Linked DNA regions of Oryctolagus cuniculus. The protein of the gene in region 3 purifies or fractionates together with the protein of the main gene of each other region. This does not show direct contact. Links are inferred from orthologs where the notes say so. Each region holds a gene or a part of one and is shown on either strand. Other genes may lie near its edges. The genes, in order: APBA2, KLC1 and CLSTN1.

The links.
Region 1: the proteins of CLSTN1 (region 3) and APBA2 purify together in Homo sapiens (affinity purification with western blotting; 3 studies listed by BioGRID and IntAct, with this or other methods). This does not show direct contact. The link is inferred for Oryctolagus cuniculus from reciprocal best matches to the Homo sapiens genes CLSTN1 and APBA2.
Region 2: the proteins of CLSTN1 (region 3) and KLC1 purify together in Homo sapiens (co-immunoprecipitation; 3 studies listed by BioGRID and IntAct, with this or other methods). This does not show direct contact. The link is inferred for Oryctolagus cuniculus from reciprocal best matches to the Homo sapiens genes CLSTN1 and KLC1.

The regions. Positions count from the first base shown.
Region 1 is NC_091443.1:11,725,726-11,729,364, forward strand, and holds part of APBA2 (amyloid-beta A4 precursor protein-binding family A member 2), read right to left. Parts: intron 1,124-3,639; 5' UTR 1,084-1,123; coding exon 145-1,083; intron 1-144. UniProt on the Homo sapiens protein: Putative function in synaptic vesicle exocytosis by binding to STXBP1, an essential component of the synaptic vesicle exocytotic machinery. May modulate processing of the amyloid-beta precursor protein (APP) and hence formation of APP-beta.
Region 2 is NC_091451.1:46,419,526-46,423,858, reverse strand, and holds the start of KLC1 (kinesin light chain 1), read right to left. Parts: upstream 2,856-4,333; 5' UTR 2,657-2,855; coding exon 2,646-2,656; intron 2,206-2,645; exon of another isoform or gene 1,989-2,205; intron 1-1,988. UniProt on the Homo sapiens protein: Kinesin is a microtubule-associated force-producing protein that may play a role in organelle transport. The light chain may function in coupling of cargo to the heavy chain or in the modulation of its ATPase activity.
Region 3 is NC_091438.1:158,404,357-158,407,685, forward strand, and holds part of CLSTN1 (calsyntenin-1), read left to right. Parts: intron 1-513; coding exon 514-570; intron 571-1,351; coding exon 1,352-1,509; intron 1,510-1,705; coding exon 1,706-1,854; intron 1,855-2,074; coding exon 2,075-2,301; intron 2,302-2,678; coding exon 2,679-2,849; intron 2,850-2,987; coding exon 2,988-3,133; intron 3,134-3,329. UniProt on the Homo sapiens protein: Postsynaptic adhesion molecule that binds to presynaptic neurexins to mediate both excitatory and inhibitory synapse formation.

The DNA.
Region 1 (3,639 bases), on a different chromosome or scaffold from region 3:
AAGCATCCAGCTTGTGACCTGAATGGAAGTTAGCCCGGGCGCTCCCAGCCCTGTCACCAGCTTGGCCTTGGCTATGGCAACACCCCAAAGACGCACCAACCCCCAGGTCCCTGTGCCCCCTTCCCTGGGGCAGCAGAATCCTACCTGCTCTTGGGGCCACTTCGGCCTCTCCTCTGGGGTCCTAGTCTTGTTCTTGAAGCCTCTCTGGGGGTCCCCGGAGAGCTTGGCCTCAGGAGGGAGGTTCAGCGACTTGGGCCTCGCCTCGTGCCTGTTGGGGCCACGGCCGGCCTCGCCAGGCGGGCAGGCCTCCGTGGAGTCCCCGGGCCCTGGCTCCGGTGCGTGCTCCGGGCTGGCCTCACTGGCACTGGCAATGCTGGTCATGCTCAGGCTCATCTTGATCTCAGCCACGATCTGGTCGATGTCCTCCTCCTGGTCCTCCAGGTCCCCGTCCCCACGGCGCAGGCGGTAAGGGGAGGCGCCGCCCGCGTTGCCGTTGGCCTCTGTGGGGTAGTAGTCCTGGTAGCCCTCCTTGCCGGGACAATAGAGGCCGGCGTCCTCCTGGTCGTGGGCCTCCAGGACAGAGGGCTCGTCCTCCGGGATGGACAGGTGGCCATCAGGGTAGCCCTGGCTGCCTTCGGCCCCGTGGCCCAGGGCGTGCGGGCCGGCCGAGTCCGTCCACTCCTCCACCGCCTCCTGGCACTCGTCCGTGTCCACGGGCGGAGCACTGTGGGCCAGGTACTCCTCGCCGTTGCAGTCCATACCCTCCAGGTAGCTGTCGTCCTCAGGGCAGTAGCGGATGTAGTAGGTGACGCCCTCCTCCTCCTCCGGGAGGCCCTCGTCATAGTCCTCCTCCTCCGAGGTGTTGTTCACGTACTCGGAGCTCGAGTCCCCGTCGGGGCTGTGGCTGTGGCACTCCTGCTCCTCAGGCTGCAGCGCAGCCACCTCCAGGCCCTTGGGCTCATAGCCTTCCAGGGGCAGCTCCGTGTCCTCAACCTCCGGCTCCTGGCTGTGGGGGACGGGGCCCGGCCTGGCCCTGTGGTCCAACATGCTGCTGGCGGTGCTCTGGCGCTTCCGGTGGGCCATGGCGGACGCTCACGCGGCCATCATCCCCTGGAGGCAGCCACTGTGGGGAGGAGAGGCACAGAGAGCAGAGTCAGACCCCAGGAAGCACCGTCAACCCCAGCAGCACACGGCCGCTTCCCCCGCTGGCCACCAGCTTTGCGTGGAGCCGCACGTGAGCAACACTGCTGCAGCCTGGGCCTCCCCACGCCATCAGACTCGCCGGCCAGAACGAGGTGTGCTGGTGCCAGGGAGAGCGGGGGGCAGGCAGACAAGGCTGGCCACGCACCAGCACGCCTGCGTCTGCCCCGGAACCCACCGGCTCCCTCCTGACTCCTGCCCTCGATGCCCCAGACAGAGGGTCCCACAGTCAGGCCATTTGCTCTGAAAGAGACAAAGCAGCATTCAGGCAGAAGGCGCAGTGAAGACCCACGAGGAGGGGCCCCAAATCCCCCAGGTGACACCCGTGCTCCATGACACGGGTATGGGCACGTGGAGGTGCCACATGACACCCCCAGTGTGTACAATCATCACGTGACGACTTTAAAAAAATTAAATAGATAAAGTGCAGTAAGGAGGTGGACAGGAAGGCTACTGTCTATATTTTCCATCTTCAAGCACTGTTCAGACTTTGTATCTTACGGGATCTATTACTTTCATAATGAATTTTAAAGACAGTTGGATAGTAAGTCACGATAACCAAGTCTGCCCCCAACAGGCCTGTCCCACCCCGCCCCCCTCCTCACCCCAAACCCAGCAGCGCTCACCAGGGCCCTGAATGTGCAGGAGGTGACCTGGCAGAGCCCCCAGGACAGCAGCTCAGCTCGGGCTTGGGAGGAGGCTGCTGCCTGGCCCAGGGGAGGAGATGGGCCTGTGGGCATGGCCCCAGCTTGCAGCGCAGGCCTCACGGCACCCAGGGGTCCAGAAAAGACCTTGTGGATGCAGGACTCTGTACGCAGGGTCACTGGGTAGAAGAGCTGGAGGAAGGGGACCATTCTCTCAAGGGGAGCAAGCAGCCGGGGCAAGCAAGGGCGCAGCAGGTGCTGGGAGGTTGGCTTCGTGCTCCATTTCTCCAGCTGCATGGCTACTCAGATGCTTGCCATACTCTCTAAATCACACCTTCACGTTACACATACTTATGCATTTTTAAGCCTTGTTCTAGAAATCTCATTGAGAAATAAGAGCTTGAAGCTGGCACCATGGCATAGTGAGCGAAGCCTCCACCTGTGACGCCAGCATCTCATATAGGCATCAGTTCAAGTCCTGGCTGCTCCACTTCTGATCCAGCTCTCTGCTATGGCCTGGGAAAGCAGTGGAAGATGACCCAAGTGCTTGGGCCCCTGCACCCATGTGGGAGACTCAGAGGAAGCTCCTGGCTCCTGATCAGCTCAGCTCTGGCCATTGTGGCCATTTGGGGAATGAACCAGTGGATGGAAGACCTCACTCTGTCTCTCTTGCTCTCACTCTCTCATTCTGCCCTGAAATAGAGAGAGAGAGAGAGAGAGAAGGAAGGAAGAACGGACTGACGGATGGACTTAACAATGCTTATGACCCCACATTTACATTTTGGGTTATGTCTATTTTACTACAATTTTTAAACATCAGAATTAAAAGAGACACAGGTGCTTAGCAGGGAGGAGGAATGAGAAACAGCAGCTCAGTGAGTACTGGGGTGGCAGCGGGCACGGGGGTGGACAGGAGTGATCCTGCCATGGTCACTGCCCAGACGCCAGGCCCACCTCACTGTACATCCTCTTCCTGGCACCCTCTCCCCAGGGAGCTCATAAACCACAAAGTTTTGCGTCCTGTGTCCCGCAGAGCACCCAGCACAGCCCCAGTCACAGCCCACCCCGAGACGGGCATGGTCACACCACGAGCACCCCCAGAACAGCTGAGAAGGGGACAATTCTTCCATGCAGCCCGGGCACGCGGTGTGAGCACAGTGACTGACGGAGCCACCTGCTTCCAGTGCGTGAGTTAAAGGGCACGGACGCTGCCTGTCCACGCAGCTTGTGCTAGAACTCGGAGAGCCTCGCGGCGTGTGCCCAGAGTGGCCCACGACGTTGCACATCCCACGCCAGGAAGGACCCTGCAGGCTCTGAATGACCCGAAACCCTGAAACTGGCAGGATGATTCCAAAGAGCCGTTCCCAGCTCCATGCTCCAGATTCTCATGGGAGGGGCCATCTTCCCTGGAAGCAAGCAAATCTGGACACTAGCTGGAATCCTTCATTCTTTACATTCACATATTCACCCCGACTGAGAGGCGTACAATATAAGGTATGGAGTAGCTTACCTTTCCCCCAAATAGTTGGCCCAGTGGTTTTTACACTTTGCTGCCTATTAAATAGGCTAAAGCCCAGGGCATACCTCATGCCAATAAAACTAGAAAGCTCCAGGTGGGAGCCAGGCATCGGTGGGTATAAAGATGGCCCAGGCGACTCCGACGGGCAGCAAAGTGTAGACATCACTAGTTTCCTGGATATCCCGCTACCCTGCAAAGAACAGACTGAGAGCCCCGCGTCCCAGGATGGCTGGTCAGAGACTAAACTCGCCCATAAACCTGGCACTGTTTCCAGAA
Region 2 (4,333 bases), on a different chromosome or scaffold from region 3:
CCTCCCACACATCTGCTGCCTTCCCAGGATGCATCAGCAGGAACTGGACGCCCGAGCGGAGCTTCACTCACAGCCCGCACAACCGCCCTACCGGCTGCTTTCAATCTGCACCGCAACTCAGCCGGAAGTCCCGTTCATCCTTTAAAAGTGGAGGCAGTACGCCAGGGACACTCAAAGCAGACCAAGTCCCTCCATCTGCCTCCAAAAGTCAGTTAAGGCGAAGTAAACTGTAACTCCCTGTTGACCCGAGACGGGGAGCAGAATGACACAGCAGGGCTGCAGGAGACAGCCAGCCTCCTGGGGAATTCTAAGGGAACCTGAGTCATTAGCAACTGCCACCACCTAACCCAGCTGAGCTCTCCTCAGCCCTTCCGGCCGCCTAGCCACTCTGAACGCGACCCCTTCCCCTTCCCCTGGCTCCCAAGGGCCTCTCCACACGGCTGGACGTCGGGACGCCACTGGCCTCTCACAGCAGGATACAGCCTCTCCAGTCCCGACCTCCAGCCCACCTGTGTCCGGACCCCTCCCAACCGCCGACTGGGCCGCCTGGGGTCCCACAAGCGCCTGGGATCTAAGGCATCCAAAACCAAACTTGCTTCCGTCCTGTTCCCATTGCCCGTCTTGGTGGGAAGTGAGCCGCGCAAGCCAGAGAGGAGGAAGCCGCTGGAGACGCAGGCCTTCAGCATGGATGAGGCGCGCGGCACTGCCGCTGAGCGGGCCGACAGAACCCGCCCTGCGGCCGCCACCAGGTGACGGTGTTTAGACAGAGGGAGGCTGGGGGGGTCGGGCGGGGCAGGTGCCCTGGAGGCCCCCGAGCCTGGGCACAAGAGGCGGCAGAGGAGGTGGGGTGCTGGGGGACACTGGGCAACCTCGGCGGAGGGCCGCGCCATCTGCCCGGGGTTCTCACGGGGCTGCTCGGCCTGCACCCCAGGGCAGGTCACTGTGACCCCTGCAATCCTCGCTAATCCGGCCGCCCCCACCCGGCTCCCGGGCCAGCTGCCCCCGCACAGCCGCTGGGCTCAGCCGCGGAGCGTCTCCCCACCACTGCCATGAGGAGTCGGGGTGCTGCCCAGGCCAGGCGGCCTGCTGCTGGTGGACACCGCCGCCGGGGGCTGCCCGTCGGCGCAGCACCTGCTCCGTCCAGCTTGCACAATCCTCACTGCCCGGCACCTGCTCTGTGGAGGCGCTGACCGCTTCCTCACCGCGAAGCGCCGGCCTGACACCCACCCACCCACTGAGGACGCTGCCAGCCTGCGCCACGCCTGCGTTTCATTCAGCTCTGCCCTGTCCTGCCTCGTCTATTCTCCAGCCCTCACGGAGAGTGACAGGGCCTTCCCTCTCCAGTGCGACGAAGCACCGCAAGAACGTAAAATCTGAACCGCAGCTTCTGTCGCCGGGCGCCCCTGCCCCTGGGGGCCCTCGGCCCTCGGCCCTGCAGGGGCTGCGGCCAGGCGCCCCGGCCTCCCCGCCCCGCCGGCTGCCAGGCGCGGCTGCACCGGGAGGCTGCGCTACCCACACCCACACCCACACCCACACCCAATTCCACACCACCCGAGACGCCGAGTCCGCGCGGCCGTGCATTCTCACAAGCCCCGGCCCTCCGCCCACCGGGCCGAGCGCTCCGCCTGCGCCTCCGGTGCCCGCACCTCAAAGGGCGTCGTCCTCCCAGCCCACCCGCCCGGACGCCGGCTCCGCCCGCTCTGCCGGTCCACACCGACGGCGGGGCCGGCTCCCCCGTCAGGCCCGCCGCGGCGCTCCGAGGGGCTGACAGCGCTCGCCGGGGCGGTGCCGGGCGGGCGGGGGCGGAAGGCAGCGCCGGCTCGGACAAAGCGCCGGCCGCGCCGCCCCCGCCCGCGGGCTCGGACCCCGCCGGGGATGCGGGGCGGGGCCGGGAGGCAGGGCCGGGGATGCGCGGCCGGCGCGCGGCGACCCGACCCTGCGGGGCCCCGGGCGCGGCCGGGCCGGGCCGGGCCGGGCCGGGCACTCACCGTCCCGCTCGCCGCCGTGCGCTCTCGCGCTGTCAGCTCGGGGAGCGGCCTCGGCCGCCTCAGGCGCGGGTCACGGGGAAGGGGCGCCGGCGCAGCGGCCGCCACGCATCCCCGGCCCGGCGCTGGGCTCTGCACCGCCGGCGCCGCCCGACGCCTCCCTCCTCGCAGCTTCGCCCCGGCCGCGCGCTCCGCCGCCGCCGCCGCCGCCGCCGCCGCCGAAAATGGCGACTCCGCGTCGCGCCCGCCCACAATGCCGCGCGCCCGCGTGACGTCACTCGCGCCTCCCCGGGAGCGGCCGCGGGCGGGGGTCGGGGGCCGCGCGCCGGCTCCGTGCGCCCCCGAGCGCGCCCCGAGGCGCTCACGCCCCCCGGCGCGGACGCCGCCCCGCCCGCCCCCCGGGTGCGGGCCGGGCCCGCAGGGCGGTGCCCGCGGCCGCCGCATCCCCGCTGCGGCCTGACTCAGCAGCCGGCCGAGGGCGCCGCTGACTCAGGGGCCGGCGCGGGGCCGCGCCCTCGGCGCTGTGGTCGGCCCGCGCCCGAGCCGGTGCGGCCCCGCGCGCGGGGGTCACGGCGGCCGGGCGTCCCCCTGCTCGCGCCCTGCGCCCCGGCTCGGCACCCCCCGAGGACCCCCGGCGGCCCCGCACCGCTCCCTGGGTACCTCTGACCCATGCCAGTGCCCCCGCGGCTCCCTCCGTCACTGAGGGTTAGGGCGAGGCCACGCCGACGGGCAGCACCGGCAAGGTCCCCGGGCAGAGACAGTCCTCCGGCAGGAGGGACCCGGCGGCGCCGGGCAGGGGAGAGGCGGACGCGTCCGTGGCGCCCACCGCTCCCGCGTCCTGACTGCCGTCAGGTTCAGACTCCTCAGCTTGGCCTGCAGGGCCCCAGGACCGGGGCTGCCACCCTCCCCTGCCCCTGGGTTCGCTCCGCTGTCCATGCTATCCACTCTGCCTAAAATGCCCCTCTCCCCCAGCCACTCCGAGACTCAGCCACGAGGCACCTCCTCCAGGAAGCCTTCCCCGCCTGCACCAGCCTCCCGTGCTCTGTGTGGTCAGCCTAGGGCACTGGGGCAGGGAGGGCCTGCGTCCCCTCAGCCCCTGACCCGGCTCTCCTTGGCCTCACCCCTCCCCTCGCGGGGAATGAGGAAGGGTCGGTTCTCAGATCACCGTGCAGCCACAGGAGCCCCGTCGCCTCACGGCGTCGGGACTGCACACTCGGTCACCACCCGTCGGGTCTGCAGCCGGGTTACAGCAGACCGTCAGCTCCGCCAGTCCTGCTGCCAAAGGTTTTCCCCAGCCTGCACGGGGAAGGGGCGTGGGAGGCAAGTGCACGGTCCCTTCTCAAAGGTACCGCATCCAGGCAGGGCAGGCTCCCCGCAGATCCTGGGCCGGCCGGGCTCTCGGTCCGCGTCCGCCCCAGGGGGTGCTGGCTGCTGCTTGAGGCCAGGCTGGTGCTGCACAGTATCTCTGACGCTGACCCATCCCTCGGACAGCAGGTGCGGCCACACCCGCTCACACACAGCAGGCGCGGCCACACCCGCAGGGCTCACACACGAGACGGGTGTTAGCGCGGCAAGGCTGGCTCCTGGCGGGGACAGGGGCTGACCTGGGACAGCAAACGGCCGGCTTCTGAGACAGGAGAAACCCAGAGGGCGGGAGACGGCTGGGAAGGGCGTGGGCCGTGAACCTGTGGGTGCTCGGCCAATGAGAGGGGAGGGCGGGACTTGTGCACCAGGTGTGTGTGAACCTGTGGGTGCTCGGCCAATGAGGAGAGGGGGGAGGGACTTGCGCACCAGGTGTGTGTGAACCTGTGAGTCCTCGGCCAATGAGGTGAGGGGGGAGGGACTTGTGCATCAGGGTGTGTGAACTTTTCAATCCTCGGCCAGTGAGGAGAGGGGGGAGGGACTTGTGTGCAGGTGTGTGTGCCTCGTTCCCTGTTCTGAGTGTGCTGTCCCCAGACACCCGCCCTTGCCAGGCTGTGAACAGAGCCTGGCTTTTCTCTGACCTGTGTGTCAGAGTCCATCCTTCCAGGCCGGGTGGTCTCTGGTGGGCTTATTTCCCACCCCCGTGAGTCTGATTTCCGTCAAGATCCTCAGGAGTTCTGCTCAGCCCTGGAGCCATCAGCAGGCAGCCTGGGCCCCCGGGGCGCTGCCCTGGATCAAAATGTGGGTGCTGTGCCCCACGCCCTGAGCACCCGGCAGCTCCAGCGGGGACCTCAGGAAGCCCACCTGGCGGCGGCACCAGGGCGCGGCGGTCTCCAGGTCATCCTGTCCTGGGGTTTCACTCCGAGATGCTGAGTCCCCTCTGGTCCTGTGCTGCCCACACCTGTCCCTGACTGACAGACGGCACT
Region 3 (3,329 bases):
CCATGGCACCGTGGGGCCTGAGCATAGAGGATTCTCGTAGAACCCACGGGGGAGTCTTGTCAGTACAGCTCCCGAGATCAGAAGAGGCAGCTGGGGCTCGCCTGCCCTAAGGTGCAGCAGTCTCAAGGTGACAGCAGGAGCTTTGATGTGTGTCCCATACCCGGGCCCGGGGCCCTCCGTGTGCTCCCCCACGTCCGAGGCGGAACGATGCCCGCCTGGCGCCCGGCTGTGGGGCGCGGCCTTCCCGGAGCGTCCTGCCCAGCAGCCCGCTGGAGGTCGGTGGACCCGATGTGTGCTCTTGCCTTGTTTGAGTGTGACCTGTGATTTGGCCAGGAGGGCGCGGGAAGCAGTGCAGGGGGTGGCGTCTGGGACACGGTGACCAAGCCCCAGCTCGTGTCCGCAGCGGTGGCAGCGGCGGGGGGGACCTCTCTCCGCCTCCCGTCCGGCCGCCCGGTCCTGTTTGCAGCCCTAACCGCCTGGTCGTCCTCTTGTCTCTGTCTTGCTTCTCCACAGAGTATTCAGGAGTTGAAAATGACACTGACACTGAGCCCGTGACTTTGGCCTCTGCAGGTTGCTGGATTTTTGTTCCCTACAGTCCGCCACCGTGTTCCATTCCAAGATAGACGGGACTCATCCCACATGTCGCATGAAACGCCGCGGTCGCTCGGGGCCAGGCCCCTTCGGGCTGCGTCCCTGCATCGCGCTTCCCCATCGCTTCGTGGGGTTTGCCTCTGCTGCCCACCCCAGCCCAGCCCAGTGAGGGCAGATGACTCACCCGTGCCGCGCGCTCATGGGTCCTGCCTGATCCCACCGCACACGGCCCCTCGCCTCTGTCTTGTGTGGTTGAACCGCAGGGACAGGGAGACCCGTTTCCGGATGTCGTGTCCTGATTGAAGCGGGGTTCTGTCTCATCTGTGTCTGCGTCTTGTTTTCCCATCACACCTCCGGGGCAGGCAGGGGTGCCTCAATGGAGGGACGGCGCTCGGCGTCGCCGCCTGCCCAGCCACCCCCATGCGAGTGTCCCCAGGGCATGTCCCTGGGGGGACGCGGCAGTGCTGGCAGGGTGGGGGGCACCGGCAAGGCCGGCTGCACCGGGGCATGGCTGGGCGCGTGGGCACTCTGCTGGCGCCGCTGGCTCCCGGTCGGGGACCCCAGCCCCTCATTTCTGCAGGCCACATGCATGATCATCCATGACTCACCGTCCACATCGCCTCCCATGTAGATCGCAAGGCTAACAGGGTTTGGCGTGAACTAACCTGCATGTCCATCCACCGAGCTGCACCGCCAGTAACCGTGCCCGGAGACGCTGCCCGGCGCTCGCTCACGCCCCCTCTTCTCCCCTGCTCCACAGGGGGTGACCTGCGCATGACTCAGTTTTTCCGAGGAAACCTGGCCGGCCTAACGATCCGTTCCGGGAAGCTCGCGGACAAGAAGGTGATCGACTGCCTGTACACCTGCAAAGAGGGGCTGGAGCTGCAGCTGCCCGAAGACAGCGGCCGCGGCGTGCAGGTAGCGCTGGGCTGCGGGAGGGGGCGGCGAGGGCCGTGTCTGCGCCGCGCACGCCACCGCTGGCGCCGGGTGAGCGCTGCCTCCGCGGGTCCCCGAGCGGATCCATCCCAAGCCGTCCCCTTTGCCGGGGCCATCGGGTGTCAGCTCCTTGCACCTAGAACCCGTTCTCCTCTCTCTCCGTCGGCGGTGACTTCAGATCCAAGCAAACCCCGGCCAGTCCGTGCTGACCGTGGCGGGGGACGACGTCGGGGAGCTGGAGAAGGCCCTGCAGCACGTGTCCTACGTGAACTCGCGGCAGTTCCCCACGCCCGGCGTCCGGAGGCTCACCCTCACCAGCTCCGTCAAGTAGGTCCCCCGTGGTGCTGCGTGGGAGGAGGCGGCGTGGGTGTGAGTCTTGGAGACAACCCAGCAGCCCCCCCCCCAGAGGAAGGGCGTGAGCGAGAGGCGCGGTGTGCCCGCCATGCTGGGGGCTGCCGCCCGTGCCATGCCGTGTGTGTGGACGCTGCCTCTGCGGCTGCTGTGCGTGGGCTCCCGGAACCCGTCACCCTTCCTTTCCCGCCGGCAGGTGCTTTAATGAGGCCGCCTGCATCTCGCTGCCCCCCGTGGACGGCTACGTGATGGTTCTGCAGCCCGAGGAGCCCAAGATCAGCCTGAGCGGCGTCCACCACTTTGCCCGCGCAGCTTCGGAGTTTGAAAGTGCGGAAGGTGTCTCCCTCTTCCCCGAGCTCCGGATCGTCAGCACCATCACGCGGGAGGTGGAGCCCGAGGGGGACGGGGCCGAGGACCCCACAGGTGAGACCCCCCCACACCCTCCTGCCATCCCTCGCCTGCAGGGCACTTTCTGTGTGCGGGCTCTGGGGGTATTTTCTCACTGTATTGTGGTTCCTCGGTCAGTTCCAGGATTGATCTGGGGGCTGGGGGTCGTTCCCTGTGAAAACCCACGCAGAGAGGGCCCTTTCTTCTTTGTCTGGCTCTCCGAGGTGTGTGGCTCGAGGCTGTCGGCCCCCGAGGCCAGAGGCCCCGCTGTTCTTGGTGGGGGTCCTTAGGGACCCGCAGGTGGTGAACGCGACTCCCTGACATCCGCCACGGGGCCTTAACGGAGCCGTGGGGGTCGCTGCCAACGCCGGGCCTCACAGCCGCGGTCACTTCTGGTTGGGCCGCTTTTGCAGTTCAAGAGTCCTTGGTGTCGGAGGAGATAGTGCACGACCTGGACACCTGTGAGGTCACGGTGGAGGGGGAGGAGCTGAACCCGGAGCAGGAAAGCCTGGAGGTGGACGTCGCCCGCCTGCAGCAGAAGGGCATTGAAGTGAGCCACTCCGACCTGGGCGTGGTCTTCACAGGTGAGGGGCTGGGCGGGGCCTCCCACAGGGAAGGTGTTCCCCCCCCCCCCGGGGTGTGCACTCGGCCCTGCCCGGGTCCTGGCCCTGCCCGGGCCCCTGGTTGAAGCTGCCAGCAGGCTTCTCGCTTCCTCCCTGCAGGCGTGGACGCCATGGCCAGCTACGAGGAGGTCCTGCACCTCCTGCGCTATCGGAACTGGCACACCAGGTCCTTGCTTGACCGGAAGTTCAAGCTCATCTGCTCGGAGCTGAACGGCCGCTACATGAGCAATGAATTTAAGGTGGAGGTGAGTACAGCGCCCCCGCGAGAGGAGCCAGCAGCAGGGACACGGGGCTCCGGGGCCCCCAGGGTCTGAGGACACTGCCGTGGAGAGCGTCGGTGGAGGCAGCGGTGCGGGGGGCAGGCCGGGTGGAGCGGCCCCTGGCGTCCTCAGGCCGGGAGCTGTTTGGACGGCGGGCGGCAATGACCACCCCCGGCTGCAC